Linked DNA regions of Rhinolophus ferrumequinum. The protein of the gene in region 4 binds, or shares a complex with, the protein of the main gene of each other region. Links are inferred from orthologs where the notes say so. Each region holds a gene or a part of one and is shown on either strand. Other genes may lie near its edges.

Evidence for each region.
Region 1: the proteins of F2 (region 4) and THBD are in contact, whole or in part, in a crystal structure (PDB 1DX5), measured with the Homo sapiens proteins. The link is inferred for Rhinolophus ferrumequinum from reciprocal best matches to the Homo sapiens genes F2 and THBD. Residues at the interface, in NP_000497.1 of Homo sapiens: Phe382, Ser385, Pro386, Gln387, Leu423, Arg425, Thr432, Arg433, Tyr434, Arg436, Asn437, Glu439, Lys440, Ile441, Met443, Lys470; in NP_000352.1 of Homo sapiens: Ser424, Cys425, Glu426, Cys427, Tyr431, Ile432, Leu433, Asp434, Asp435, Thr440, Asp441, Ile442, Asp443, Glu446, Asn447, Gly449, Phe450, Asp479.
Region 2: the proteins of F2 (region 4) and FGG are in contact, whole or in part, in a crystal structure (PDB 2HWL), measured with the Homo sapiens proteins. The link is inferred for Rhinolophus ferrumequinum from reciprocal best matches to the Homo sapiens genes F2 and FGG. Residues at the interface, in NP_000497.1 of Homo sapiens: His450, Pro451, Arg452, Arg461, Arg486, Ala489, Ala490, Leu493, Ile530, Val531, Glu532, Arg533, Cys536, Asp546, Asn547, Met548, Phe549, Cys550, His605, Phe607, Arg608, Leu609, Lys610, Lys611, Trp612, Lys615; in NP_068656.2 of Homo sapiens: Pro439, Ala440, Glu441, Thr442, Glu443, Tyr444, Asp445, Ser446, Leu447, Tyr448.
Region 3: the proteins of F2 (region 4) and FGA are in contact, whole or in part, in a crystal structure (PDB 2A45), measured with the Homo sapiens proteins. The link is inferred for Rhinolophus ferrumequinum from reciprocal best matches to the Homo sapiens genes F2 and FGA. Residues at the interface, in NP_000497.1 of Homo sapiens: Phe382, Lys384, Ser385, Gln387, Leu423, Arg425, Tyr434, Glu439, Lys440, Ile441, Ser442, Met443, Lys470; in NP_000499.1 of Homo sapiens: Trp52, Pro53, Phe54, Cys55, Ser56, Asp57, Glu58.

The regions. Positions count from the first base shown.
Region 1 is NC_046306.1:43,502,218-43,509,380, forward strand, and holds the start of THBD (thrombomodulin), read right to left. Parts: upstream 3,005-7,163; 5' UTR 2,349-3,004; coding exon 612-2,348; 3' UTR 1-611. UniProt on the Homo sapiens protein: Endothelial cell receptor that plays a critical role in regulating several physiological processes including hemostasis, coagulation, fibrinolysis, inflammation, and angiogenesis.
Region 2 is NC_046301.1:25,437,489-25,445,057, reverse strand, and holds the start of FGG (fibrinogen gamma chain), read left to right. Parts: upstream 1-4,559; 5' UTR 4,560-4,628; coding exon 4,629-4,706; intron 4,707-4,807; coding exon 4,808-4,852; intron 4,853-5,046; coding exon 5,047-5,230; intron 5,231-5,341; coding exon 5,342-5,435; intron 5,436-6,979; coding exon 6,980-7,110; intron 7,111-7,410; coding exon 7,411-7,544; intron 7,545-7,569. UniProt on the Homo sapiens protein: Together with fibrinogen alpha (FGA) and fibrinogen beta (FGB), polymerizes to form an insoluble fibrin matrix. Has a major function in hemostasis as one of the primary components of blood clots.
Region 3 is NC_046301.1:25,420,023-25,427,791, reverse strand, and holds the start of FGA (fibrinogen alpha chain), read left to right. Parts: upstream 1-4,758; 5' UTR 4,759-4,831; coding exon 4,832-4,885; intron 4,886-6,792; coding exon 6,793-6,918; intron 6,919-7,401; coding exon 7,402-7,585; intron 7,586-7,769. UniProt on the Homo sapiens protein: Cleaved by the protease thrombin to yield monomers which, together with fibrinogen beta (FGB) and fibrinogen gamma (FGG), polymerize to form an insoluble fibrin matrix. Fibrin has a major function in hemostasis as one of the primary components of blood clots.
Region 4 is NC_046294.1:14,304,418-14,311,846, forward strand, and holds the start of F2 (prothrombin), read right to left. Parts: upstream 3,003-7,429; 5' UTR 2,960-3,002; coding exon 2,881-2,959; intron 2,503-2,880; coding exon 2,339-2,502; intron 1,659-2,338; coding exon 1,634-1,658; intron 1,394-1,633; coding exon 1,343-1,393; intron 26-1,342; coding exon 1-25. Other genes in the region: ATP synthase F(0) complex subunit C2, mitochondrial-like, read left to right, coding at 6,288-6,632. UniProt on the Homo sapiens protein: Thrombin, which cleaves bonds after Arg and Lys, converts fibrinogen to fibrin and activates factors V, VII, VIII, XIII, and, in complex with thrombomodulin, protein C. Functions in blood homeostasis, inflammation and wound healing.

The DNA.
Region 1 (7,163 bases), on a different chromosome or scaffold from region 4:
GCTGAAAAAAATTCACCAAGATACGTTAACTGCTACATGATAAATGAGAGTACATAAACATATAGATAGGGAAGGAGAGAGAGAGAGAGAGAGAGAGAGAGAGAGAGAGAGAGAGAGAGAGAGAGAGAGAGAGAGAGAGAGAGAGAGAGAGAATGGCAGGAGGGACTCAAAAGTGGGTCTGAAGACACACACACAGGGAAAAAAGAAAAAGTGTCCCAAATACTTAAAAAATAAATATCTTGGTCATCATCGATGACAGGATTACACTCACTAGTTCATCAGATCATAATCTGCGCAAAATGCTGTGGACCACTAACCCCTCTTGTACCCCATGGGGAGGGCATGGGACACTCTGCAGTCTCTGTCTTCATTGTACAATTGCCATCTCTGCCCAGTTGATCTGTGATCTCATGGGAGCAACTGGGGTGCATCCTCCTAATTCCCTCTCCCCAGCCATTCATGGAATCAGTGAAAAAAGGGGTGAGGTGTCTTTTCCAGTTCTGATGCCCGCTAAGGGTGGCCAGGGAGTAAGGCTGGGGGAGAACAGGGGAATAAGGCACTGGAGGGAAGGAAAGTCCAAGTCAACAACTGGGGTCAGAGAGGGAGGTCCCTCAGAGTTTCTGAGGCATTTGCTCCGTTCGTACGTGCTGCAGTACAACCTCTTTGGCTGAGGCCCCGCACTTGTACTCCAGCTGGGCCCTCGTGGCCCCTTGCTTCTTGCGCAGGTGGCAGAGGAGTGCCAAAAGCGCCACCACCAGAGACAAGCTAGCGATGGAGATGCCAATGAGCGCCCCAGAATGCATAGACCCTGCAGGCGACGGTCTCAAGGTTGTCCCAGGAGTGGGGCTGACCGGGAGCTCTCCAGAGCCGCCATCGTCGCCACCGCTCACCTTGATAGGGTCACAGTCGGTGCCAGTCCGGCCGGCGAGGGCCCAGTTGGGCCCGCAGATGCACTCATAGGTGCCGGGGAGGTTGCGGCACGCATCTGTGTGGGGGCAGTATTCATTGTCGCACTCGTCGATGTCGGTGCACATCCTGGAGTCCTCTTCCAGGATGTAGCCCTCAGGGCACCGGCAGAGAGTTGAGGTGTTAGGATCGCAGTCAGCTGGGCACGCAGTCTGGTTGCAGAACATCTGGCACCTGTGGGGGTCTTGGGGGTCGGGCACAAAGCCCTCCGCGCAGACGCAGCGGTAGTCAGTTTGGCCCACAGGCTGGCACTGGTACTCGCAGTTAGTCCCGATGCACGGGTCCACGGACTCCAGGCACTCGCCGTCTACCAGGTCGTAACCTTGGTAGCAGTGGCACTCGAAACCGCCCTTCGTGTTGACACAAAGCTGAGGGCACAGTCTGGGCACCTGCTCACAGTCGTCCACGTCCTCGCAATGGTGCTGGTCCGCAGCCAGCTGGTAACCAGTCTCGCACATGCATGAGTAGGAGTCGGGCACGTCCGGGTTGCGGACGCAGAAGTGCTCGCAGAGTTTGTCACACGAGTGCTCCCCAGGCGCGGAGCAGGAGCGCCCGTCGGCATTCAGGGTAAAATCGGCAGGACAGAGGCAGCGCGACACCCCGGCGCTTTGGTTACACGTGTGCTGGCAGCCGCCGTTCTCCACGCAGCAGTCCCAGGTGCCTGGCACCTTCCGGCCCCAGCGCGCCTCGGCCTCTCCCGGCAGCTCCTCGCACACCAGCTCCACTCCGAAGGGCGCCACTGCGGCGGAGCTACCCACCGGCAGCGTCTGGAAGTCCGCGCCGCGGGCCCCGAACGGGGTGCTGTAGGCGATCGAGACGCTGGCGGCCACCGCGGCGCTGGCCTCCACAGCCAGAGGCCTGCAGGAGGCTGAGAAATGGAACTCGCAGAGGAAGCCATCAGCCTCTGTGGTGCACTGTTGTTCCTCCCAGGCCGGCTCGCCCGGCGCGTGGGCCCCGGCAGCCGAGACCACGACGCACAGCGGACCGCAGAGAGGTGTTGGGTCCTTGTGGAGCAGCGCCCACCTGCTGTAGCTGGTGTGGTTGTCGCCCGTAACCCACTGGAAGCCGCGCAAGGGACCGAGGTACTCTGCGTCGCCACAGCCGGGTGGGAGCTGCAGGCCGATCCACAGGCGACGACCGTGACTGTCGTCGCCGCTCAGTAGCAGGGAGATGACATCAGCTGCCACTGAGGAGCGCACGGTCATCAGGTGGCCTCTCAGGCGCTCACAGGCCTGGCTGGCGGCGAGGAAGTTCTTGGAGTCCCGGAAGAGCGCAAAGCAGTCGTGCTCAATGCACTGACTGCCGCGAGGCTGCGGTTCTGGGGGTGCCCGAAGCCCCAGGGTGGCGGGGGCCAGAACGCTGAGGAGAAGGACCCGGAGCATGCTGTCCCGGCACCCCGCGTGCAGGTGCCAGGAAGAGCGCAGGCACCGCGACAGGGCTGGCGCCCCGCCCGGGCTGAGAAGCGCAAGGAGCTGGCAGCGACAGCGGCTGGCGTCTGTCCCAGAGCACAGGCGTCAGACCACTGCGCGCAGCCCCTGCGAGGCAGCCTCTGACATGCGGTAGGCCCTGGCCCGAGTTTATAAGTGCGCAGCCCTCCCTTTCTGAACGTTCGGGGAAAGGAAGGAAGTGCCTGGTGGGAAGGGCTGATGCTGCATTCTCGGATTACTGGGTTCTCCTGACGCCTAGTTCCCGCCCTCGCGCCTGGGATTACCTCTCCGGATGAGTAAACCCAGCCCCGGCGCTGGGCGGTCCCCGGGCGGGGTCGCCGAGCGCAGGAGCCACGGGAGGACAGCACTTCTGTCAGCCAGGCGATAGTCGTGCTCCTTCCACGCGGGCCACCAGGCTCGCAGTCCTAAAAAGGACTTAATCCGCAGCTTCCCCTAATCTCTTGGTCCACTTTTTTTTTTTCATAAATTCGTTGTACAAACCGATCTCAAGGACAGCCTGGATTGCAGAACTCTGGGAAGATGAGACGGGATGATGAAGGCTGTGAATGAAGAAGGGTGAAGGGAGTTAGTTCTCAGGACACGCGGGGCTCCGGGAGGAGCTGCTCCTCAAGAAGAGGGCTTTGGGAGGGGCTGCCTAGGGCGTAGACTTCCCCAAAGACAACAATCGCAAGGAGACAGCTAGACCCCGCCCAGGGCAAGGGCGCCTAGCTCTGGAAATTGCGGTGCGCTGGGCTCCAGAAGACAGAGGATGTGGCTGGGACAATGATAGAGGAAGCCGGGAGGGCTGACCTAACATCCTAACGCTGGTGCCCCCTCCCCCCACCCACCCACCCCTGCTCAACTAGGGACACAGGAGTCCCTGATCATGAGCAGCCAAGGCCAGACCTCATCTCATCATGTGGAAAAAAGTCTCCGGAATGCTGTCGTGCTCCAAGGTCCTGTCACCTCTCAGAAGCCATGGCAGGCAAATTTCTGCTGAGTCCCGTAGGGGCAGGCGTGTTGTGGGGAACGTTAGACAGTTTGGTCTGTTTTTGCCCAGCTTCACAGAGGTACAGTGCATCTCGCCTCCCCAAAGAGTAATCCTCCTCCGGGAGCCCTCGCCGGCAGGCGTTGTGGACTTCAAGGTGGATTCCACTCGAGTCTGTTAAGAATTTTTCCATTTGGCTGAAAGATCAGACTGATACAGAGGTGTATATAAGTGTCACTTGTGTGGCAAAGGGCATTGAAGAGGGCCCTGTGGACGTGCAGGGTGGAGAGAGCTGGGAGGAGAAGATGGCAATCTGTCACTTTGGTGACCTTTTCCTCTTATTCATTTACGGAGAATGCGGAGGGGTGGGTCCAAAACATAAGGGAGAGTGGTAGTGTGTGTGTGTGTGTGTGTGTGTGTGTGTGTGTGTGTGTGTGTGTAACACCCTATGCCTTCTCTCTGCTATGGTGACTCACAACCAAGCACCAGGAGGCGGCGCTGTTGAACTCTAAACAAAGCCAAAGAAGTCAGAGATCGCCAAACCTACACTGAAATAGTGGGGGAGGGGGGAGGAGAGAGAGAGGGAGAGAGTTGGGGGTGGTGGGGACGCCCGGAGGATTCCACAGCCCTGAGGATTCCACAGCTTCCGGGGAGCGGGGAAGAGTCTTGCCTCTCGGGTCCCTTTGTAAGAGCAGGAGAGTGTGGTGTCCTCACAAGAGAAAGACAAGCACCTGTCGGCTGGACTGTACTGACCTAGAGTAACCAAGGGGGGATGAGACATGGACACTCTGAAAGTGAAAGCAGAGAGGTACAATGGTCCCTCCCAACACTCCCTGATGCCTGGGCTGAGAGCTGAGACCTGCAAAGACCCGAGAATGTTCCTGCTGCGTGCTGCTAGGTCCTGGGAAAGCTGCCCCAGCTCCCACACAGAAACGGGAAGAGCAAGGCATGGAGACTGAGGTCTGAAGCTCCCCCAAACAGTGCAACTGCTCCTCTGAGAAGAGGAAAGAAAGAGCATCAGATTTTGGAGAATCCAGCTGTCCCCAGTGGGAGAAGGGCAGGTGCTGGCCTGACATCCCACACTGGCTGCCTGGGCTTAGTCAGAAGTCATGACTCCTGTGCACATCCCTCCCACACCAGGCTGACTGGAGTGCAGCCAGCCCAGGCCCAAGGCCTGCAGATATGGGCTGGAACCTTGCTGGGACACTGCTGAAAGATCTCAGAAAGGGGAGACATTGCCTGGATGAGTGAGGGGACAGGACAAGCTACCTCCTGGTTCCAATTTTACTAAGAATTTCAAACCTGTGACAAAACATTAAACAAAGAGTGGAGCCCTCCTGAGCCTGCCAGCCCTAAAAGGAGCGGAGGGATGTTCAAGCACCGGTTTTGCCCCACACCAGGCTGGTTCAGTTCTTGGATGGTTTCTATTTGATTAACCATGACTGCCTTTTGTGCAGCATCCTATTTAAGTCTCCTTGAGCCTATTATTGATTCTTGAAAGAAAAAGAAGAAAAAAAAGATTGGAAGTCTGAGAATAGCCCTAGTAACTGAGTCCACATGAGAACTCGATGCCTGTGGGATTTGGGCCAACTTTTTATAAGGAGGTGTTGGATGCTTCCATATAGAAAAAAACAAAAACATAAACAAAACAGGACAACAACTGAATGGCGTAGAACATGGACCGTGGGTGGGTCACCCTGCAAAAGGATGTGTGGATACCCCCATTTGGCCATTCCCATCCCACAGACTTTACCTCTAGTCCTCAGCAAACATCACCTCTGTCTTCAGGGGTGATTGCTCTCTACCAATCCTTTCCCCTCTCTAGTCATCACTTTGAAGCCTTTTTGCATGCTTTAACTACCCACGTCTTCTTCTCTACACTTCCTGTAGTAGCTGGGCCACTCCCTCTATCCCTATGTGGATGATACACCAGTTCCTGTGCTTAACCAGTCCCTGAGCTTGCCACCCTCACCAGGGTTCACCCACCCAGGACTGTTTTACGGAATAACCCCTTAAAGAACACTGATTGTCTCCTAAATACTGAAGCCAATAACGTTTTCAGTCTTCATCTTTCTAGACATCTCTGTGCAGTTTTCACTCTTGAGCCCTTGCTATTCTCAAGTCTGTTCCTCCCATGATTTCTGAGACACCTAACTTCCTGCCCTTCCTCTCCTCCTGCCTCGGTTGACCCCTCTCACCCTCCTGCCCCATGAGAGTGGCCGGTCCTCAGGGTTCTGCCCACAGACTTCACCTATCTCTTTACATCCTACCCTTTGTCAAATTAATGCATTCCCCTTGTAATGATATCAATGTCAAAGCAGACTGGGGGTGGGATGCCTAGAAGGGACTCCCAAACCATTCTTTCCCTGTATCAATATTTGAGCTACCCCACTTGAATTCGTCACTTCTGCGTCAGACTTCATCAGGTTCTCTGTCTTGTCCTTGCCCTTATCACTGCTCCGATAAGACAGCTCTTTTTCTGGCTTCTTTCCTTTTGGTTCTTCACCCCTGCTGACAGCACCTGGATCCTCACATCCCTCAGAGATGCCCATGTCCATGTCCTGCTAAGGGAAACCCAAGCTGCTTCCGCGCCCTCTACACTCAGCCTTGCCACACTGAAGGTGCTGACTCACTCTGCCTCTACTCTGGCCACAAAATAGGAAGTTTGCACTCAGGGGTCTGCATTGGGGTTTGGACCTAGTGTCCTGCCACTCACAGTTTTAAAGGCTGGTGTCCCATTGGCCCCCATGGGTGCTGAAAGCCCCAGCAAAAGGGACTCCTACTGACTGTGGAAGAAATGCCTCATCCCATCTCTCCTTCATCCCAGAGCTCCTGTCTTTTCATCTGCCTTTACCTTCTCTCTATCTACTGAAATTTGACCTTTCTTTCAAGGCACAGATGGCACACTGCCCCATCAACAAATGTTTCTCAGTAACCAAACCAGAACTGATCTCTCTGTGAAGTTCAGAGGACTTTCTTTCAGCACTTTAGCATTTATCACACCTTCCCTGCTTTATAAGTCATCATATACTTATGCTCTTTGCTAGATTCACAATCTAGTTTTCCTAGGGGTAGATCATTGTTCTTATGCATCTTTGTATCCTCATACAGGCAACAGCATGTTGTGTGCATAGGTGGTGTTCAAGCGTTATTTCAGTGACTGTTGCAGGTGTTTCTTTGTGCCCCCCTACAGTGTGACTTTCTCATGTCAACTTGTAAACACAAGATGGCAGACCTCAGAGCTTCAGAGTTAGGAGTATGGGCTTTGGAGCCAACGTGGCTGAATTTGAGTCCCAGCTTCATTATTTGTAAGTTGTGTCATATTTGGCAAGTAACCTGGCCTCTCTGTGCCTCTGTTTCTTCAATTATGTGATGGGGGTCATAATAGTTACCCCTTCAAAGTATTATTATATGGATTAAATGAGTTATACATGTAAAACATTTAGAACAGTTGAGCCATAGTAAACTCTCAATAAATTTTAGCTAAAAAAGGATACATGCAGATCCCTAGAAATTGAACTCAGCCACTGATTGTGTTCAACACCCAGCACAGTTCCTGTCCTTAGTGGAGATTCACTAAATGTCTGTTGGATGAAATGTAAGTCAGCTTGTTGCGGAAAAGCGGCGAGGACCAAGAGACTCAAGTGGCACGCAGAGATCAGGGAGAACACAGCTTTATTACGCCAGCGGGCTCAGCAGAATTATTCCAAAGACTGAGCACTTCCCGGGGTCGGGGGCTTTGTTTTATAGGGTTAGGCCTCCGGGTTTGGGGGAGATTCGCA
Region 2 (7,569 bases), on a different chromosome or scaffold from region 4:
CCATTTTCTCTCAGAGGACATCTTATCTACGAGGACTCTGATTTATGACTTGAGATTGTGGTAAAAAGTAAGTCTTTTCTCTAACATTGTCATAACATATCTCAGATTCCAAGGCAAGTCAGCAAAAAGCCAAGAATACAAGTACTATTCTAAAATTAAGTAAGATAGAATTTCCAATTTCTTCAATTTAGCTGTTTATCAACCTGTGCATATGAGATTATATATTATATACATAAGATTTAACACAAAGTTATGTGTTACCTTAAATTCAACAAATCAATATTTTATGGGTTTCAGCAAAAAGAACCACATTGACAGTATGCTCTGTCTGACACACTTTGCTTGAACTGTGTTACTCATAGGAAGTACACCTTCTCAGAAGGCCTGCAGTCTTTGATTGGTGGAATTAGTTTAGGTAGAATCTACACCTAAATTAGACAACCAGATGCTTTCTTCTCTGGAAGCATTACAGAATCAGCCTGCAGTTAGTTGCAACAGATTATGTATTAGAGAACTTTCTAGAGCTGGAAAAACAAAGCTTGTTCCCCGTGAGCTAAATCTACCAATAATGGCCCCTCTTACAAATTTATGAAATGAAATACAAAAATCTGTTGTCACTTTAGAACACTTGTTAATTCATAAGCCTTATAAACATTTACTTAGCACTTTCTGTGGATCAGGCAATGTGCTCAGCACATTATTTCATTGAATCTGGTAACAGTCCTATGAAGTATTATTATAAATACTATTTCTATTTTACTAACACTATACTGCACCTCAGAGAGGTTAAGTAACTTGTACTGAGTGACATAGCTACATAGTAAGTTGTAGAGATGAGATTCAAACTCAGGAGTACGGAGTCCAAAGTTCTTAACAACTGCTTATGCATATTCCCAATTGAGCTATATAGTCTTCTTAAAAAGCAATGCCGTAGTCACCTTTTATATTCAAATTTTAAAATATCAAGAAACAATTACTAATACAACAAATAAATCATTGTGAATAATCAATAATTACATATTTTAATTACGTGTATTTTGGGTAGGTAATATGTGCATATATTCAAAATTCTAAGTATACAGAGAAAATGAAGCCCTTTTTTTCCAATCTTGTCCTTCATTCTCTGTCCCATACCTCTCCACAGAGGCAAACACTGGTGGAGTCTCGTGTGTAATCTTGAAATGATATTCAATGTATATGGTAACATGTATGTATATGCATTCTGTTGTCTTTTTGTATTTTGCCTTTAATGTTTTACATAGTAGTTTTTGATTTCGTGTTTGGCTGGGAAGTTGTTGTTTTTTTAAGGTAGTCAAAATTCATGAATATTTTCTGGGCTTTTGTGTCATATTTTAGATAGACCTTCCGTACTCAAGTATTATGATTTCCTCATATTTTCTTCCAGTATTTTTGTGGATTCCTCTTTTATATTTCAATATTTGTTAATCTGTAATTTATTTTGGTATAAAAAGTTAAGTATGCATGTCTCTTAATTTTTTTCCTCCAGAAAGCTTCCCAGTTGTCCTAAAACCATACTAATGCCATATATTTAATAATTTTTTCTAGCTTCACTGATATGTAATACCAACTTTATCATAGTAAACCTCAAAATATACTTTGTCCTGTGTCTTGACAGTACTTATCTACCTAATATGGACCAGTATTATATTGTTTAAAAAATTATGGAATTATAATGTGTTTTATATACTATTTGAGAGAGATTTTTGTCCTCCTTCTTCATGTTTAGAAATTTCCAAGATAATTTTTTCTTTTATCATTTAAACTAATTCTGTAAAAAGGAAAGAAAACAAGAAGGAGAAAGAAAAAAATAATCTTGTTTATAGTTTTATTGAAATATCAGTACAGTTATAAATTATCATGGAAATCACTGACATTTTAATTTAGAAATAGAGCATGATTTTTCATTTGTCCAATTTTTATTTTATATCCCTATTGTTTGGAATTTTTAATGATATTTATTTTGCCTATCATTTGTTAAATTTTTCCTTAGATATTTTATCTATTTGTATGTGTGTAATTGAAATTGTAAGTGAGATTGTTTTCATTCATTATGTGTTCTAACTGGTTGTTGTTTTCATGGATGATAGCTATTGATTTCTGATTAGTAATTTTACACACCTACCTTATCAGTAGCTACTTTCTGATTATTTATTTCCTTTTACATAATTACCCTTGCCAAAGTCATTTATTTTTGCAATTTGAAAGTTTTGAGAGATATTAGAAGTATAAACTTTAAAGCTTTACTTTCATCGCAATTTAATTTAATGCCATCAAATCACTATTGAGTGTTAAATATTGCTGTGCTAGATGCAGTAACCATAAAAATAAGTTTACCATCTAATGAGATGGACACTGTGTACATATACGATACAGGGTTGCTATAAATGCCATGAAAGAGGAAGAGCTGGCCTCTGGAGTTTTGGATTTTGTTTTGGAGGGCATCGATGTCACGAAACAGGATCTTCAGGTGGATAGCAATTTAGCAGGCAGAGATGCAGGAGTGTGATAAAGGCAATCCAGGCAGAGGCAGCTACATATGAAAAAAAATAGTCTGAGAGCACTGTATGTTGCACATTAGGGGAATGTTATGTGATTCCACTGGGTAGACTAGAAGGTATAGGAAATGGACTCAAGAAAGAGAAAGCAGCAAAGGTAGGAAGGAAGAATCATTATGTTGATATTCATTATAGTGGGAAATAGGGAGTCGTGAAGGTTTTTGAGCAGGTGAGTGTCATAATGAGAGCTACAGTGTAGCTCTACAGTGTCAGCAGTGTGACAAATGGTTTCGAGCTGGAAGTGACTGGAGTGGAGGAAGAGAGATCAGACAAGCAGTCTAGACAGGAAATAAGAAGGCCTCCTCTAGGATGTTGGCAGTGGAAATAGAAATTAGGAATAAAATAAAAGTGACATTGTGAAAATAGTTTTAAAAACAAGCTTCGACAACTAAATAGACAAATAGGTAAGGAGATGAGGAAGATTGGGAAACTTTAATTGGCTGGTGGTGTGATGATATGATTGGCAATAACTGGGAAGTCAGAGAAGGGAAGTATTAAAGAGGAGAGAAAAGGCAACAAATCTGTTTTGATATATTCACTTGATTATAATAATCATTAATTATATACTAACTAGGAACATTTATCTTTGTTTCAAGTCAAAACATAACTTCGTAAAGATTTAGGGTTAAAGTGTTAGCATTTCTTTCAATCTAGATGTATTTCTTCCACTAATGTGTTTAATCAAAATTTGCAATGCTTAGTTTCAGAGGAGGAAATGAGGGATAACCCAAAAGTAGGGATATTTATAATAGTGGAAATGCACAATTATCAATTATCAATAGGAGACGATGGTAAATGTGTTTTCCCAATATACCAGGAAGCTCTAGGGGCAGAGCAAACAGTACAGCCCTTCTCTAATATCTCATTTTACCCCTTTTCTTCCTGCTATGCTTCTAGTCACATGTATGAGAGGTGGATTTTTCTAGTCCCTGCCTCTGTATCCAGGCTTTCCTCTGAGGTGACTAGATGGAAACTAAGGAAAAAACGAGGTAGGCTCCTGACTCGTTTTCCCTCTGTGGCCAATGTGGTGCCATGCCAGCCAGTTTTTCAAGACAAAGGGAGAGTCGAGCTTAACAGCTCACTGAGAACCTTGAAAATGGTCAACATATAAGGGAAGGGGGTCAAGAAATACGAACTTCCAGTTATAAAATGAATAAGTCCTGGTACAGCATGGTGTCTAGTGTTAATAATACTGTATTGTTCATTGGAAAGTTGCCAGTAGAATAAATCATAAAAGTTTCATGAGAAAAAAAAATGGCAAAACTATATGTGGTGATGGATTTTAACTAGACTTATTTGGTGATCATTTTGCAATGTATACAAATATCGAATTATTATGTCGTACACCTGAAACTGATATAATGTTATATGTTAGTTATATCTCATTAAAAAAAAAAAAAAGAAAGAAGAAAAGATAATGGTCAGCACAGAGGGCCAGGAATATATTTTCCTTTGTCCTTTGTTCCTAGGAATACTGACAAATTGGGACTTCGTGGAAAGCAAAGTCTTCTTGCCATAGCCACAGGTTCAAAATAATTGTTACCTAATCCCTGGGCTAAGAAAGCGCTCTCCGTAATTTGGGCTATGGTACCAGGCTCTATCTTAAGGTTGTGTTGGGTTTGTTCTGATCGAGGTCAGCTGGCTGGGTTTGTTCAGGTAGAGGTCAGCGCTGTGTTTGCTCTCCCAACCGCATACTGGAAGACGTTGCATCATACAACCTCCCAGGCTCCCCTCCTCTTAGCAATGGCTAATGCTTCACTAGCCTTTGCAGATGAGTTGGCTGCAGAGGAGAAAGGTGGAGTTGGGCCAAAAAGGAGGAGCTTAAACCTGTGTACACCATCTGGGAACCTGACTGAGCATAGGCTGGGGGTCAGGATGAGGAAAAAGAGATGGGAAAGACTTCCCCCCACTTCCCAGTAAGAAGGCCCCGTGATCAGCTGGAGCCACTGGCAGTTCTGGCCAACCTCGGAACTTACATAAAGGGACAATTGGAGCCTGAAAATCCACAGTGCTGACACTTACAGGGCTTGGAGCACAGGGCACCCCGACATCATGAGTTGGTCTTTGCACCCCCGGAGTTTAATCCTCTACTTCTACACTTTTGCATTGCTCTCTTCAACATGCCTGGCAGTAAGTGTGCTGTCCACAACATACATTTGTTTCAAATGGAAAGCTGAAAAATAAGAAAATATGTGATAAACTAGTGAAATTTCTGTATTTTTCTCCTCTAGTATGTCGCTTCCAGAGACAACTGCTGCATCTTAGATGAAAGATTTGTAAGTAGTTTTTATGTTTCTTGCTGTGTTTGGACTGGAGAGGGGCAGAAGAATAAGAGGAATTCTTTCACAAATGTTATTTGGCATTTTAAACTCTGTTTTTAACACAGTCTAAGTTTTACCTATTTTTATTAATAGATTTTTAAGTGTAGCTTTTATACAGATTTCAAATCATTCTACTGTTGTATTTTCAGGGTAGCTATTGCCCGACTACATGTGGAATTGCAGAATTCCTAAATAATTACCAGACCGAAATAGACAAGGATCTACAGACTTTGGAAGACATCTTAGGTGAAGCTGAAAACAGAACATCACAAGCCAAAGAACTGATCAAATCCATCCAAGTCATCTATGATCCTGACAAACCATCACGGCCAAGTGAGAAACTAAATACTACTGACTGAGAAAATAATTTGTGAAGTCCTTTTGATGTTGTTTTAGTGGTTCTATTTGCCTAAGCATTTTTATGTTTCTGATCCCATATTACAGATAGGATAGAGGCTGCTACTAATAATTACAAGAAAATGACGGAAGATATTATGAAATATGAAGCAACGATTATAGCACACGAAACAAATATTCGGTAAGCATTTGTGTTTTAACTTACTCTCCAAGAGTGATTTTTTTATTTAACACTTTTTTAATTTAGTATAAAAGTTTTTTATTTAATATTCCAAACCTCAGTGGAAGTAATCTCCACCCGCCCTTATAATATCCAATTGGCATTATGCCTGACCATCTTGAACATAAAATGGAGGTAGGATTTTTTAGTGCAACATGAATTGTATTGGGTTATATAATTGCTTTTTAGTTATCATGTGGGAGAAAAGTGTTCTAATGTCTTCAAATGCTGTTATGACCATATTTATCAAAATGTACCCCCCACTCCCAGTTGTCTAACAATATAAATTCAAATGGGAATTTGGGTGCTGAAAATAAAATTCTCTTTATAAGATTGTCAAATCAGTGGTGAGGAATTAGCAAGAAGAGGCACAGGAAGGATCTTGGCTACAAAAGTAAATTACATTGAAGGTAGAGCAGAAAAACATGTGTTTTAAAAGACTAAGTGTAACAAGCATTGTAAAGCTATACTGATCATGGCACAGTGACTCTGAAGTTATATATTCTCCTACCTTCACTCGAAAGTAAAATGTCTCTGTTAACAACTTTCCAGGGACTCATAAACTTTCTGAACATAGGGTTTCAGATGCAATTTTAGTTTCTTCCTCATTTTTTTTTTTTCTAAATTGTTTTCAAAGCAGGGTAAGGAATGGCATTAAATGGTGGATGGTGGCTAGGAAGAAGTGGCCCAGGAGGGATTTCTCCTCGTTTTGGTATCGGAGGGCCATGGTTATTGTTGTGATTATTACTAGCATTATAAGTCACATTATTATTGCCCATCATTGTAATGGAAAGAGACTATTGTGCAGAAATTTTCTAAGGCGCAGTGAAGAAAAGGAGTGGTCAGATAGTTTGTTTATTCTTCTTGACTTCAAAGAAGACACAACAATCTATGCATTGTCGATAGTTTTCTATCATTTTGGAATATGTATGAGCAACCCTGTGAAAAACTACAAAAGCAGGGATTTTCACCTCCTCCAGCCTCCTTTTCCCAAAGCTATGTAAATAGAAACATTAAGAAGATAGGGAAAGTGTCTTCATTGTTTTATTTTAGGTAAGATAATGTCCCTGACAATTTTCTCAGGTAAATTATAGATTGAAGTCCTTAAATAGATCCTCAGCAGATCCACAAATGAAAAGGAATAATGCTTCCTTCTGCACATGTGAATTAATGAACAGTCTTTCTTTCCCTAAGAATATCTCATCATAAGAATAATCACCAGATGGTCTTCCTTTAACCAGACCCTTCACCCACTTGGGTCGTTATCTGCTCAGAATGAGCATTGTTTAACGACAATGACATTTTTTATTGACAAGGACTTTGTTGTCTTCTTTTCCAGAAAGCTTAGAATTTTAAGTCACCTCAATTTAGTAACATAATTTTACTAAGAATGGAATAACTTACCAGGAAATAATTCTTGAGAAGATAAGGTAGTATTTTTCAATTAAAATGCAAAATTATGCCTCTGAAAGAAATACTCTATTATCTTATTCTTCTGCTTGTAGATTTTTGCAGGATATATATAATTCAAACAATCAAAAGATCATTAACCTGAAACAGAAGGTAGCCCAGCTTGAAGAACAGTGTCAGGAACCTTGCAAAGATGACGTGCAAATACATGAGACAACTGGGAAAGGTAAGTGAAAGGTCGATATTGGGATGATGTCCATCAAAGCTAATATATAAAGTAAAGGAGAATTTATGTATTATAGTATATAGAAGTAATTTTGAAAGTGTCTAGCCATTAAATCTAGGTGTCCAAGTGCTTAGACTTTTTTTTGATTAGCTAACAATAGTTTGAAAGGAAAGCTGGGGTGAGAAGTAAGAAAATGCTTCTTGGTAAAGGACTAGTGTGCAACATGTTAAAAGCTCATTTTTAAGGCTGACCCCGTCTTTCCTGGATTTCAAACCACAGTAACAGTTTCTTCTTCTTCAGATTGCCAAGACATTGCCAATAAGGGAGCCAAGGAAAGTGGGCTTTACTTTATCAAACCTCTGACCTCTAAGCAGCAGTTCTTAGTCTACTGTGAAATAGATCAATCTGGAAATGGATGGACTGTGCTTCAGCAGGTATGTGTTCCCTCACCGTGTGTAT
Region 3 (7,769 bases), on a different chromosome or scaffold from region 4:
ACCTTGGTTTTTGTCTGCTGATAACTTCCAAAAGATGAAGTGATCTGAGGTAGGTGGGAGCCCTCCCTAGATAAATCTGAATGTTGACTCTCCCTTAAATAAACAGAGTAGGGCAGATTCCACTCTGTGATGAAAGTGGCCTCTTTCAAATCCTCAGAAGCAAGTAGTTAAAGTGTGACTTAAAAAAAATATAATTTAACAATTCATCGACCTTGGACTGGAAATGTTTTCCCTCCTAATCTGCCCTCCTTACTTCACAAAGCTGTGATAAGGGTCAAATGAGATCACATATGAAATTGCCCCAGAGATAAAAATTAAACAAAAACAAAACTGAATTGGTTTTTGCTGTTAAGATTGGTATTTCTGTATGAGACTTGAATCCAAAATAAAAGTTTGGAAATATAATTTTAAAACGTTATTAATTTTTCGCACTTATTTTTAAATTACCTTTTCATTTTTCTATTGCTTTTCTCATTTACAGAAAAATTTTAAAACATGCTTCAGAGAGTTCCCTATACCTGTTTCCCAGTTTCCTCTGTTAGCATCTTACTTTTCCATGATTTGTCAAAACTAAGAAATCAATTCTAATAGTCACTATATTCTAACTTCCATACTTTATTCAGATTTCACCAGTGTTTACACTAGTGTCCTTTTTCTGTTGCAGGATCCCATCCAGTATGCATTGCATTTAGTTGTCTCATCTCCTTAGTGAGCTTTGGTAAGTTTCTTAATCGTTCCTTGTTTTGCATGATCTTGAATGTATAGATGAGTAAATTACTGATCAAGTATTTTGTAAAATGTCCCTCAGTTTGGGTTTCTACACTACTATTCTCAATAACTTTTTGTTGAATTTTACCTAAGCAAAATTTTACCCAAATGTCTCCTGCCAGTGGCTTTGGTTTTACTATAGAACAGCCCATTAAAAATAGGTTCCACTAAGAATCAGAGAATTAAATGGATCTGGGTAATTATATTGCCCCATACTTTTCATGTAATTCCTTACTGTGGAAAGCCTAAGTACCTTACAGATGCCATTTCCCCAGATCTCCGTACATTGGTGACAATTGATAGAGCCGTTTGCTAATCTTTAGTAGAACTACCATGAAACCAGCAGAGAAGTTTGACAAATTCAATGGATGTTATAGTGTGTGATGTTAGAATGAATCCATGGTGTTCATATTAATACATCAATTGATTATTCATCTAAATAATGGTTTTACTTTTCAAAAATAGCATTTATACTTTAATGCATGTTCAATGTAAAAAATTGGATAAATCTAGTAAAACTTAGTAAAGCACATTATAGGTAAAGTTAATTTATCTTGAGAATTGAATTATTTAATCAATAAGAGTTAAAAATGAAAAGAAAGGAGTGGGGAAAACTCAGGAACCTCACTTTCATATCCATCTATCTATCTATCTATCTATCTATCTATCTATCTATCATCTATCTATCTATCTCTATCACTCTCTTTCACACATATACATATCACACACATATCACATACACATATACACACACACTCATAATTACTTAATAGAAGCTTGATTAAAAGTACTTAAGTAGAGTCGGCCTGGTGGCTCAGGCGGTTGGAGCTCCATGCTCCTAACTCCGAAGGCTGCCAGTTCGATTCCCCCATGGGCCAGTGGGCTCTCAACCACAAGGTTGCCGGTTCAACTCCTCGAGTCCCCCAAGGGATGGTGTGTTCCGCCTCCTGCAACTAAGATTGAACAGGGCACCTTGAGCTGAGCTGCCACTGAGCTCCTGGATGGCTCATCTGGTTGGAGCGCGTCCTCTCAACCACAAGGTTGCCGGTTCGACTCCCGCAAGGGATGGTGGGCTGTGCCCCCTGCAACTAGAAACGGCAACTGGACCTGGAGCTGAGCTGCGCCCTCCACAACTAAGACTGAAAGGACAACAACTTGAAGTTGAACAGCACCCTCCACAACTAAGATTGAAAGGACAACAACTTGACTTGGAAAAAAGTCCTGGAAGTACACTCTGTTCCCCAATAAAGTCCTGTTCCCCTTCCCCGATAAAATCTTTAAAAAAAAAAAGTGCTTAAGTAAAAGATTATGAAAATTACATATAAAGTCAACAAAAAAGAATGATTATTATATCATTGGAACATTATAGAATTTAATTCCAAAAAACACTAAAAAATTATTCAGTTGCATAGTCATTAATTTGGAGACAATTCAATAATAAGAAATAAAGTAGCTTTCTTTTCTGAATAAGGAGATTGAAGAGAAATACAGTGTGACAGCATGAAGCAAGGTTAAGAAAAGTTCTTTTTTTCCCTCCTCACTTCCATAAGTGCATTTCGGAATCATTTCTGTGTATTTTAGGAAATTCTCATTTTCTCTCTTCAGCTATAACTTCCAGGAAAGCCATCTGGAATCAGGGTATTGATGAGTTCTAAAAATAAAAGTCCCATTAATTATTCTTGCCTAGATCATCATACCAATTTACTCACCTATCACAGTAAGCAACATGGTTAATAACAAACTTTTTTGCAACACCATTGAAAAGCAGAGGACAAGTAGAGAAAATCGGACAGACAAAGCAAGTAGCCTTGCCAATATTATCCAGTTAATCCTCTAGAGGCAGTGTCTGTTGTAAAAACCTGAGGCACAGGCCCGGAAAGGGTATTTTAAGTACCAGAATCTCCTACATTTTTATAATTCAGGCATTTCAAAATTTAGACATTAATTTTAGTACTTTCCAATGTGCACTTAATACTGTTGTAATAAAATATTTCCTGTCCAAGTACCATTATCTCCTTGTTATTAAAACAATAATAAATGTACAGTTTCATATAGATTTTTATGCTAAAAGACACAGTAAGTATTTCTCAAAAACATCTTGCATTTGTAGGCCTGAATTAAATCTGATCGCTTAAGGAACATTTTACGCAAAGCAATGCAGAAATGATATATCACTCTCTTCTCTGTTCTTTGAATATGCCTCGCAAATTTTCCCATTGTTTTGTATTAGATATAATCATATGAAATTTCAGATGTTCATCATTTTAATCTACACAAATGTCAATTCTATAAGGTTTAACTTCCTCGCTGCAAGTGTATTTGATTTCCTCACCAACTATAAGCAAGTTGAAGGTACCAGATTGTCCATTATTTACCTTTCTATTTGAAGAACATAGCATGAGGACTGACAAATAGTAGACATATTATAAATGGTTGTTACATCTAAACATATGGATTAGGAAGTAAACTGCTCTAAAAATTCAGTAAATTTAAAGTCAATTGGTCAAGAAAAGAATGTTCCTCTGTTTCCCTGGGATGTATTCCAGGAAAGGACAAATACCTCATTCAAAAGAAAGCTGAGAGTTTTTGTTTTGTTTTGTTTTGTTTGTATTTTTAAGGTATGTTTACAAAATGGCAAATATTTAGAGTGACTGGCTGTATATTTTATTTATAGTGGAACCCACTTATGCTTTCTTGCTCAGTGAGAGGCCACACCTTTTGGGGAGAATATAAAGACCAATAAAATATGTCAATTCTCAAGTTTATGATCTAGTGGAGGAGATGGACAACACTCCAATAATGCTAAATGCGCAAATGGTGCATGGCCTAAAGAAGTATGGAAGAACAAGAGATTGTTTCTATTTGGAAAGATGAAGTCAGATACTACGTAAGGTGTCTGGCAAAGTGCTCAGCACTTAGTAAATACTCAATAAATATTAGCTATTACTATAATCAGGATTGACTTCACACAGGAAACAGAATTGGAGGCAAGGTAAAATTTATAGGCAAATTACAGTATGCCCAGTGAAACAGGCGTTTCAGGTAAACCAAAAACAACAAAAAAAAGTTTTAGTTTTGCATGGGACATACTTACAATAAAATGTGTTTGTTGTTTATCTGAAATTCAAATCTAAGTGGGCATCCTGGGTTTTTATTTGCTGAAGATGGCAATTCTTAGCCAAGAAAAGTTTTGCTATGGCGATGAAGAGCAGAGAAAGTAAATTACCATGTCCAAAGGCATAGAAACAGGAGAGAAATGGTGTTTTTCATGGCACTTTATGTTCTCTAATAATTGTTAACACTTACTGAGTACTGTACTTAATATGTGGCAATCATTACTCTGAGGGCTTTACAGGCTTAATTCATGTATTCTTCATAAAAACGTGTGGTAAGTTATCATTATCCCCATTTTAAAAATGAGGAATCTGAGGCATAAAGAGGTAAAGCAGTGCATTCAAAAGCACAGAACTGGCAAATGATGTGGCTGGGATTGTGGCTGGGATGCTTGGATCCAGGGGCTGCTGTCATAACCATTTTGGATAGAGGAAAATAATTCGTTTAAGTTAAGCTTTTAGAAGCTCATCAAGGGCAGACTATCAACACAGTCATTTTTTAAAAGTCAGATCATCCAACCATAATTCCTACATAAAGTGCAATGTCATTTGTCAAATCTCTGCTTTAAAGTGGGCTACTGCTAGCCTGCTTCAGCCTCTCTCCATATTCCTTCAGGTACGCAAGTCTAGGTCTGTCCTCCTATGTTCACCTTTGGATTTCCAAAGTCACCTTGTTCCTGGAATGTGGGATCTTCCCCGAACTGCTGCTTTCTTTGCAACAACTTATTGAAAGCAAACAAGCGTGGGCGAATTGAGCAAGAACTTCTGGAACACCAACCTTGGAGAAGGAGCAAGGAATGTAGAGTGAATGTTGACCATCTAAACAGGACAACGGTAATGATTAATCCCATCTCCTGCAGATTTAAATGGGATGGGACCTGGGAGTTGACACAATCCTCTTTTCTTGCAGCTGGATTGCTGCTCATGAGCCAGTCCCACCCACAGAAAAGATGTTTTCCATGAGGATCTTCTGCTTGGTCCTGAGTGTGGTGGGAACAGTTTGGGTATGGTCCTCTTTATTTTCTCTTTTTTCTTTCTCTCTAGTGTTTATTCCACAAAGAGCTTGACAGTCTGAGTCAGTCTTATATATGTCTTCATACACTGTTAGCTTTCTAAGCTCTGGGCCCTGCAGGCCAGTTTGTAGATGGGCCTGACACCTCAAGAATACAGGGTAATATGACCCTAAGGGGCAGACTTACCCGGACCAAAGTGTACAAATTCACAGAGGAAGTTTTAATATCTGTAACTCGGTCTTACAACATTTTTTTTAAGGGAAAAAATCTTTGCCATCTTTGTTGCTATAAAGCCTCGAGATAGTTAATGCTAGCTAACAGAACAAAACATTCGCATGGTGAGAGTTTTGAAAATTCTTGATATTTGCCCATAATAAGCAGAACAGTAGTTTAATACAGTTTTTTCTGAAAGGTTGTTTTTGTGTTTCTTTTGAGACAAATAAAAAGCAAATTAGTTGTCTTTGCAAACACATTACATAGCAAAGTCAGAAGAGATTAACTGATAAACCCATATGCTTTTTTGGGAAGCAATTGTATTCTTTTAAGCTAATTACTAACTATTGCAATGATTCCTAAAGTTTGACTCCAGAAACCTACAGGAAAGAAGAGAAACTTAATTCAATAAGGTTTTTGATCTTATAAAAACATGATAAATATGTTTTAGAAAGTCAGTTACATCCAGTCTGTGAATAATTTCAGTTTATTTCTTTCCCTTCACCACTCATAATTCCTAATACCAGAGCAGAAGAAAACTAAAGAGAACTTCTAACTTAATTTTCTCTCTCATAATAAAACAATAACTAAACATTTTTAAGGGAAATAAAACTAACATCATTTGCTAAGATGATATTTTGGATAAGGCATAACTTTCAGTTATTTCTCCCTGTTACTGGCATAAATACAATTTAATTTTTGCTTGTTTTTTTTTGTTATGCCATTTAATTATGAAGTATGTTTGAATTTATAATTTTATTTCTTAGACAAATAGATTATACTTGTTCCTTTAGATAAGTTGTTCTTGATTGCTAGAATTAGTATTATTCTTATTTGGTTTTTTTTTTTAAATGAGACAACAAATATTAACTAATTATAAAAATAAACTTTCTGAGATTAAAATAGTCGTAGCAAAAATCTTTGTAAGTTGGTGGCACAAAATAAAAATAGCCAAAATCTAAAACCCACATTGATTTATTAGAATATAAAATCTTGTTGGAAGAATATTTTTATCTTATTTCACCCCATAGATCACAATAGATCTAATTGTAAGGTGTTCAAAAGAGTTGTCAGTCATAGACCATTATTTTTTCTTTCAGTTTACTTTTCCTCATTTCAGTTAAAAAGATACCATTACATGAGTGAGCAAACTAAAAAGCTTTTCTGAGTCTGAACTGGACACATTTGTGTTCTTAGTATATACTTGCTCAAATTATGAACCCATAAGGTCATCATAGAAACTTAAAGGACAGACTTTAAGCAAAGATAGTGTAGGCTTTTTCCTACTGAAACAGGAATTATAGGAGAAAGGATTCTTTGATTTTTTTTCAATTATCTTTCTATCTCCAGATATCAATGAAAATTAAAAGGTAAATTTTAACTCATTTTGTAGATTCACATAATTTTTCTTTTATAATGGAGACTTTAAAAGGCCTACCATTTGCTCAATGCTTGTTTAGTGTCAAACTCGGTTAAGAAATGTGTACCCTTTATCTCTTTCAGTTCTCACAACTTCATAAAATGGGTATTAGGATATTCATCCAAAGGATAAGAAACCTGAAGTTTATAGTGGCCCCAAAGCTGGTGCTGTTAATCTTTGGGAGAGGCCATCTTCTTTGAGTTTGACAAGCATGTCAATGTCTCTTTTCCTGCTTAATGTTGTTCTCTTCTGTTAATCTTTAAAGTCTGGAGAGACCCAAGAAGGTGAATTTCTAGCTGAAGGAGGAGGTGTGCGTGGCCCCAGACTTGGGGAAAGACAGCAATCTGCCTGCAGAGAGAGAGACTGGCCCTTCTGCTCTGATGACGACTGGGTGAGCAGTGGGCTTGGGGAACGACACAATCCTTCCTTGCTGGGCTAGAAGTGTGCACAGCCTGACCACTTAGGTCACAGGAAACGTTTTCAATGGAAAAAAATCAAATAGCTCCTTACACGTCAAATTAAAGAAGGCAAATGGAAAGGAATGTAGTCCTGAGAGCACTGTTTAAATTACTTTCAAATCTCTGGGTCATTAGTGGGATTAAGAGATTGGCTTTTAATTCCATGTACAGGTGGATACAAGGAACCTGATTATTAGGCTTCAAGGTTTCACTGGGCCTAATTTATGGTTAAATGGGCCCTCTTTCCAGAATTTCCTTATGATCGCTGATTAGCCCGTTCAAACGACTTTTAAATCAATAGATAATCTGAAGAGATTGGGGAAGAAAGCAATGGGAGCGGCAAGGAAACCTTTAAAATTGTACTGGAGCCAAGAGATAGACCCTTAATGTAATTATTTTTTTCTCTTCACTTTCAGAACCAAAAATGCCCTTCTGGCTGCAGGATGAAAGGGTTGATCGATGAAGTCAATCAAGATTTTACAAACAGAATAAATAAGCTCAAAAATTCACTATTTGAATATCAGAAGAACAATAAGGACTCTAATTCAGTGACCAGAAATATAATGGAAATTTTGAGAGGGGATTTTGCCAGCGGTAATCGTAAGTATTACGTATTTGATGCTTTGACTTTATAGTATACAACAGAAGAAACAACATCAAAAATCCTAAATAAATATAATATCTTCGTATAGCAACTGCAATTTTATTCCAAAGCACTTAGTGTAGAGACACATCCTTTATGATATCCCTAAATTTTTAAGGAGGGGCTAGTAATTTTGTTATT
Region 4 (7,429 bases):
ATACCCAGACCTTCAGCACAGTTACCTGCAGAGACCCCAGTCCGTCCCCCCCCTTTGTCTTAGCAAAGCTCCATCTACCCCTTCCAAACTCCTTCTGGCTCACAACTCTTAACCTGCACTTACTCAGCACCTCCTCTGCATTCAGCAGTACTCCAATCCATTTAACAGTAGTCACCAAATATTTACTGTGACACAGGGACAGGCGCAGTGCCAGGTACTAAGGACATAGTGATGAATAAGACAGTCATGATTAAAGTAGGTCCCTGCCCTCATGGAGCTTATATTCAGTGGGTCCTCATGGCCAGCAGGATGAAAAAGTGAACAAGGCCTAACCTGACCCTGGTCTACCTATCCTGTCAGCTTAGCGCCTCGTGCCTCAGGGCCTTTGCACATGCTATTTTCTTTGCCTGGGAATGCTCTCCTGTTTGTCCATCAATGTATCTCACAAATCCGGGTAAAACTCTGCTGCTTCTGGGGAGCTGTCCCTGATTCTGTCAGCAAACTAAAGGCTCTTTCTCCTGGCATTCTCTTGGTACCTGGAACAGAATGTTTCCTGCAATTACATTGATGTTTTATGGTTTTGTTTTCCTATGAAATTGTGAGCTTCTTGATTCTCTCAAAACATCCAGCACTTGACAAAGTGCCTGGCACCTAGCAGGGGCGTAGTGAAATGTCTGTTAATAAGTGATTTAACAAATGAAAGTATGGCCAGTGATTAAAGAGTTCATGTTGTGGGGTCCATCGTCACACTAACAGTGTATTCAGAAGGCTCAGCAAGGTGGTGCCATTTGAACTAGACCTTGAAGGACAGGGAGATTTTCAGTAGGAAGATGACAATGTAAGGAAGATCCAGGAAGTAGGACCATCTTCGCATGTTCGGAGAAGAGCTTGCTGTCAGAGTAGCTGGGGTCTGGGTTCACGGTTGGTGCAATGGAAGATAACGCTAGAAGGGGAGGTTAAGGCCAGAACCTGCAATGTTTGCCAGTCTAAGAAGCTGGTGCTTTATGCTGGAGGCACGGGGCAGCCACTCAAGGTTTTGGAGAATGAATGTGACATATTCGGAGCTCTGCCCTGGAGACATGGGGAAGACTGGCATGGACAGGGCTTCAGATGAGAATGAGGCCTTGAACATTAATTCATTATCCATTCATTCATTTGTTCCTTCAACATTAATCATCTTACCAGAGCTAGGTGCAAAATAGCCTTGACAGCAGAACAGAAAGGCAGAATCAGAAGCTGGGGGCTGCCGCCGCTGGGCAACCTGCTGACCCACACGCCTCTGCTTTCCTCCCAGGCAGTCCCCTTCATATCCTGACCTCCCACCCCCACATTGATTCCTCACCTTCCAGACATTCAACGAGCTTTTCTCGAGGTTTCCTCACCGACTCACAAGCTGGAAAAGACCCAGAAACACATTTGGAGTTGGGGTAAGGACAAGGTGGGCTCAAGTAAAGGGTGGGATGACATTCAGAAACAGAGAGATGGACAGACAGATGGAAGGGACGGAGGGAGGGTGTGAGGGAGGGAAGAGGCAGGGGTGGGGGTGGATGATTGGATGGACCATAGAGTAGTACATTCTCTAAGTGGGGTCCCCAGGACTTTCTTCCTGAAGCAGACCCTTCCCAGTGCTCACCTGTGTACTTGGCCCAGAAGGCATCCTGAAAAGCAAGGGCTGAGCATGAGGCTATGGCAGGATGCTGTTGTGTTTTGGTTTTTAGTAAACATTATGTCTTCTCCTTATACTTTTCTCTTTCCCTTACCCTGGTCACTCTGGGAAGGTTTGTGGCAGTTTCCTGCTTTTGTTTCCAACTGCCCCGGCCCACTAAAGAGAGGAGAGCTTTCCCACCCGCACCCAAGTCTGAAAGGGATTCCCCTGGGTGGGGTAGACTAGAGAAGAGAGGGCATGGGGTGCTGGCCGTGGGGTTCAGGCAGAGCCCCAAGGAAGGGAAAGGTTGCAGGGTTCCCGGAACAGAGAGGCCTAGGCCCAGGGCTCCCAGCCCCACCAGAGCCCCACGCCCCAAGATCGCAGAGACTTAGCAGAAAAGCTGAAGCAGAGAGGCCACGGGGGCAGAGGCTCCAGAGATCTTGAAGTAGACAGATGTCTGAAGCCTGAGAGGCCTCCCGATGTCCTGGAGCCTCATCAGCCCCCAAGACCAGACATCTGGACCTCCAAGGTCCACAGGTTGTTCACCTTGGCAGCCAGTGAAATGGGGCCCAGAGATAGAATGAGGTTAAAGAGCTGGGATGCTCCTCGCTCCCCTCACTTGTGCTCCTAGAGTTGGGCCCACTGGGAGGGATCCCGGCCCTCGTCCGAGCAGCCTGGCCCTCCCTCCCTCACCGTGGCACTGGTCGACTCCAGCGCCTCGAAAGCCTCCTCGTAGCTGCACTGCTCCTCTATGCACTCTCGCTCCAGGTTGCCCCTGCGCATTTCCTCCAGGAAGCCACTGTTGGCGCGTCGGACCCGCTGGAGCAGCGACATTGCTTGCTGAGGGTCCAGGAACACTGCAGTAGGAGGGGCATGGGACAGTGGCCTGAGGCAGCCTGGCTGTCTTGGCCATCGTGGGGGCAGGAAGCAAGCCTGGCCTGGCCTGCTGGCTTCTGAAAAGGGGTGTCTGGGATGGCGGCAGGACCTGAAAGGCTGCTAATGGTAGCCCACTAGCTCCCCTCCTTTCATGGGTCACCCCAGTCCACTCCCCATATGGCAAGAGAGAAGTCGTCACTGTCTGGCCAGATCTGAGCACTGGACTCCTTCCCTAAGCTGGATACTGTGGCTGAGGCCCACCTGGGGCTGGCTCTGTGCTCTCTATCGAGCCAGGGGACCTCAGCCATGGGCCCGTATCCCAGTCTGCCAGCCTATCCCAGCTTCCAAGCCCCCCTTACCATGCTGGCTGTGCACAAGGCTAAACAGGGCAGCCAAGGCCAGGCAGCCAGGTAGCCACGGGCCTCGGACGTGCGCCATAGTGTGTCGGCTTGGGACGCAGAGGGCTCATCCTGACCTCTCAGGTTAATGTTAAACTACTATGAAGAAACCAGCTGAGAGGAAGTGGTCAGCAGGTCAGGGCCATGGGGACAAGTGAATAGATACTGTGTTTCCCCGAAAATAAGACCTAGCTGGGCCATCAGCTCTAATGCATCTTTTGGAGCGAAAATTAATATAAGACCTGGTATTATTATATTATGCTATACTATATATTATATTATATTACATTATATTACATTATTATTATAGACGAGGTTTTATATTATAGTAAAATAAGACCGGGTCTTACATTAATTTTTGCTCCAAAAGACGCATTAGAGCTGATTGTCCAGCTAGGTCTTATTTTCTGGGAAACAGGGTAATCCACCCGCCATTTGGGAGCACAGGTCCTCCTAGGACCAGAGATGGATGGTCTGGGAGGAAGTCCCAAAGGAAAGACCAATGTAACCACCATCATCCAGCCCCCACTTCCCTGAACATGTGCCAACTGCGGCCAGTGGGTTCACAAGGTCTCTGCAATTCCTTCCAATCCTAACATATGGTGACGGTTGCTTTAATCCCTGTGTGCCTCAGTTTCCTTATCTGTACATGGGAAGAGTACTTTGATGGGAAGATTAAAGGAGATTGTGAATGGAAAGCCCATGAAAGTGCTTACTAATCAGTAGGTACATGGATGTAAACCAACAGGGAGGTTTGTGTGATTCCCACAAACAGATACAAGAGAGACAAGGGTGAAGTCAGCAAAGCGCTGCCCACCTTGCCCTAGGACACACTTGGGGCAGGGACAGCCAACATTTGCTCTCAGCCTCTCAGCCACGGAAGGAAGGTCCCATTTTCCCTGCCTCCCACCTGGGGAGCTGTGGAGGAGTGTTTGTGTGCAGGGGTGCCCGGGAGGAGGAGTCAGGGCCAGGCCTCCTAGGCTTCTGTTCTGCTTCCTCTCATCTCCTAGAACCTATTGCCTGGCTTCTGGAAACAGGGGCCAACCCAGTTCCCAGGGTCTCACGGTGGGGCCCTTCCTGCTCCCCCTGTAGGCCTGGCCAGCCTACAGCACCTGGTGGTCCCACACTGCCCCTTGCCCAGCCCTGCTCCCGCCCCTCCCCCACTTCCTGTTTACAGTACACAAGGTAAATATTAGTCCTAGGTCTAAGTAGGACAGAGGGACAAAGAGCAGAAACACAGATTCTTACCTGGCTGTCCTTCGGGACTGACCGTTCAGGGTCTGGACTGCGGTTCTGTACAGTCTGGGAAGATCACAGGGAGGGCTCTTCCCAATGCAGAGAACTGGGGACCAGGACTCCCACGAATCAGCTTAATTCCTGGGTTGCCCAGTTCCTACATTTAGATTTATATATATTTATGTTATATATTTCTTTTCTTTTCTTTTTTAAGGTGAGATTTAACGTATATACCATAATGTTAAAACAAATCCTAAGTGTTTAACTCAAATTTTCATGCGCACACCCATGGAACCATCACCAGATTGAGAGAGAACATTTCCGGCCCCCAACTGCCTCCTTTGCGTCATCCCTAAGAGAACCTCTATTCTAACCACCATCACCGCAGACCCGTTCTGCCTGTTTTTGAACTCCATCTAATGGAAACCTGCAGGATATACCTGTTTGTGTCTGCCTTCTCTCGCTCAGCACGTTTCTGAGATTCATCCACGCTGCGTGTAGCAGTCCTTCCTTTAAAAGCTGCGTCGTCTCTCATTGGATGACTATGGAACATCTTATTTCCATTCACCTGTTGATTGGGCACTGGGATCAGTTTCCAGTTTGGGGCTATTGTGAAGAGTGCTATGAACAATCACGTACAAGTCTTCTGGGACTGATAAGCACTTGTTTCTGTCGGCTCCAGGCCCAGGAGTGGCTTTGCTGGCTCATACAGCAGGCATATGTTTCGGCTAAGTTGCTGTGACAAATAATTGTTTCAAGTGGCTGTGCTAGTTTACAGTGTCAACAGCAACGTCTGCGGGTTCCAGCTGCTCATATCCTCACCAACACCTTACATTATCCAGCCATTTCGTATTAACCATTCTGACGGACATGTAGGTGTCTCATCGTGGTTTTAATCTGTATCCCTGTTCCTAATGACATTGAGCCTATCCCCCCTCCCTTTTTTTAACTAGAATGGTGAAAAGATCTCACCTCACTAATTTCTTTAAAAATTCCATGTTGAGTAAAGAAAGGGAGAGGGCTCCTGAGAAGTGGAGAGAAGAGAGGTGTGGTTTCATCCTTCCTGTCTGGAGGTAAGTGGTCCTTCTTTTTCTGAGGACCAGCTTGGGCCACTGCTGACTCAACCTGGAGAGGGAGAACAGGTAAGGGGCAGGTGTGGGAGGAGTGTGGGGTGTTAGCAGGGAGAAGGACAAAACACGTAACACATGGCACCTCTTCTACTGAGGGTTTGGGGGCCCGGGGGGTTGCCCCCTTGTTTCCTCACTGTCAGAAATCCCCAATCCTGACAGACCAGCACCACAGCACGGAAGACATTACTAGTTTGGGAGGCCAGTCCTTGGTCTCACCATCTGTAAAACCAGAATTATACCAATGTTCACTTGCAGCTAAGTAAGATCATGCTGGACTCTTTGCTGACTCTTATTTGGAGTGGCAGCTTCGCCAAGGCCACGTGTAGACATGGCCATTAACGGTCAACTTGTTGGGCCACGTCTTCTTCAAGCTATTTGCAGACAATGTTCCAAAGCAGAATCCTTCAGTTCTCTGAGCGCTGGGAAGATGAGATTCGGTTATAAGGGTTCCTGCTTTCCTAGACTTATTTCTGGGTTTACCTGTCAGGGTGATGAATTTACACACCATAATAGTATCGGCAGCAAGTCTATCTAGGGGGAGAACTTCATTTTGAAGAATATGCGTCTTGCCATCTCATTCATGACAAATGCTGGACCCAACCCAAATGGCTCCCAGTGTGTCATCTGCACGGTGAAGACTGATGGGTTGGATGGCAAGCAGGAGTTCTGGCCAGGAGAGAGACGGCATGCATATTGTAGAAGCGAAGGGGCGCTTTGGATCCAGGAATGGCAAGACCAGCAAGAAGACTCGAGGCCACTCTCAGTTTGATTTTGTTTTTATCTTATCTCCAACGATTCCTTTTGTTCCTGAGAATAACTCCAGCTCTCACATCCTGTAATCTTTGTGTTCTTGCTTGCTGCAATTCTTTGGATTCCATCCTTATCTCCCTCCAGGTCTAGATGGATTCAGAGTTAAGTTTATCATTATTAAATAAAAACTAAACCAGTCCTCTTCTCTGCTCTGGGAATAGCTCTCCTGCCACAGCCCCTCATCCCCTGAAAATGTGCGCCTGCGCAGGGCTTGTCTCCACCCCCTGGTCAGGAGCACCAATCAGCTGCCGAGCCAGCCAGTCACTGTCTGTAGTGGTGTTGAAACGGCCTGAGACACTGACAGATGAGAGCCTCAGCAGCTTGGCAGCCCCACATATTCTGACCGCACTTATTTCTAGCCGCAGCCTCCAAACAGGCGCCATTTCAAAGGACATCAACACAGTAGCCAAGTGCATTGGGGCTGGGGCTGAGGCTGGAATTGGGACCGTGTTTGGGAGCCTCATCACTCGTTATGCCAGGAACCCTTCTTTAAAGCAACAGCTCTTCTCCTACGCCATTCTTGGCTTTGCCCTCTGAGGCCCTGCAGCTCTTTTGCCTGATGGTGGCCTTTCTCATCCTTACTATGAGAAGGAGCCGTCTCCACCTCCCATAGTTCTTTCTCCCGTCTCATCTGCCCTGTATGTTCCTTTTCCTATACTTCCCCAGGCAGCCTGGGGAAAAGTGGTAGGCTCAGGGTTTGACCGAGGAAAGACAAATAAATACTGCATTAGAAAAACAAAAAAACTAAACTACTTACCCCCCAAATAAATCATGTTTGTGAAGTATGACAATGCTTGCCACATGGTAAGCACTAAATAAACAGCACTGTTATGTGATATGATAATAAAACTGGAAATACACAATGCTGGCTATGAAGGGTTCTTCCTAAACTAGCGAACCTGGATCAAATCAAAGCTTTGTTTTAATTACTAGTTTACAGGAAATATAGATGATAAAAGAATAAGACCACCACATCGTGGTGAAATGAGGGACACTTGACATGACAAATAACTCCAGTTTCTCTGACAAATTTATGACATGGAAATAAAAGGGGTGGATGAAAGAGACTGTTCAGAATAATAGAAACCTAAGAGAAATCTAAAAACCAAATGCACAAAGGAAATCGAATTACCATCATTGGTTTAGTTTTTTGAATAAAAAAATAAAAAATTAAAAAATTAAAAAAAAAGACTTTTTTTGACAAACAAAAAAGTTTGAATATAGATTTGGATCTCAGTAATAGGAAAGCATTATTGTTAATATAGTTAAGTATTATTTGACACATGGCTATATTTTTTTAAATTCTCATGAGTTATAGATTATACTGAAGAATT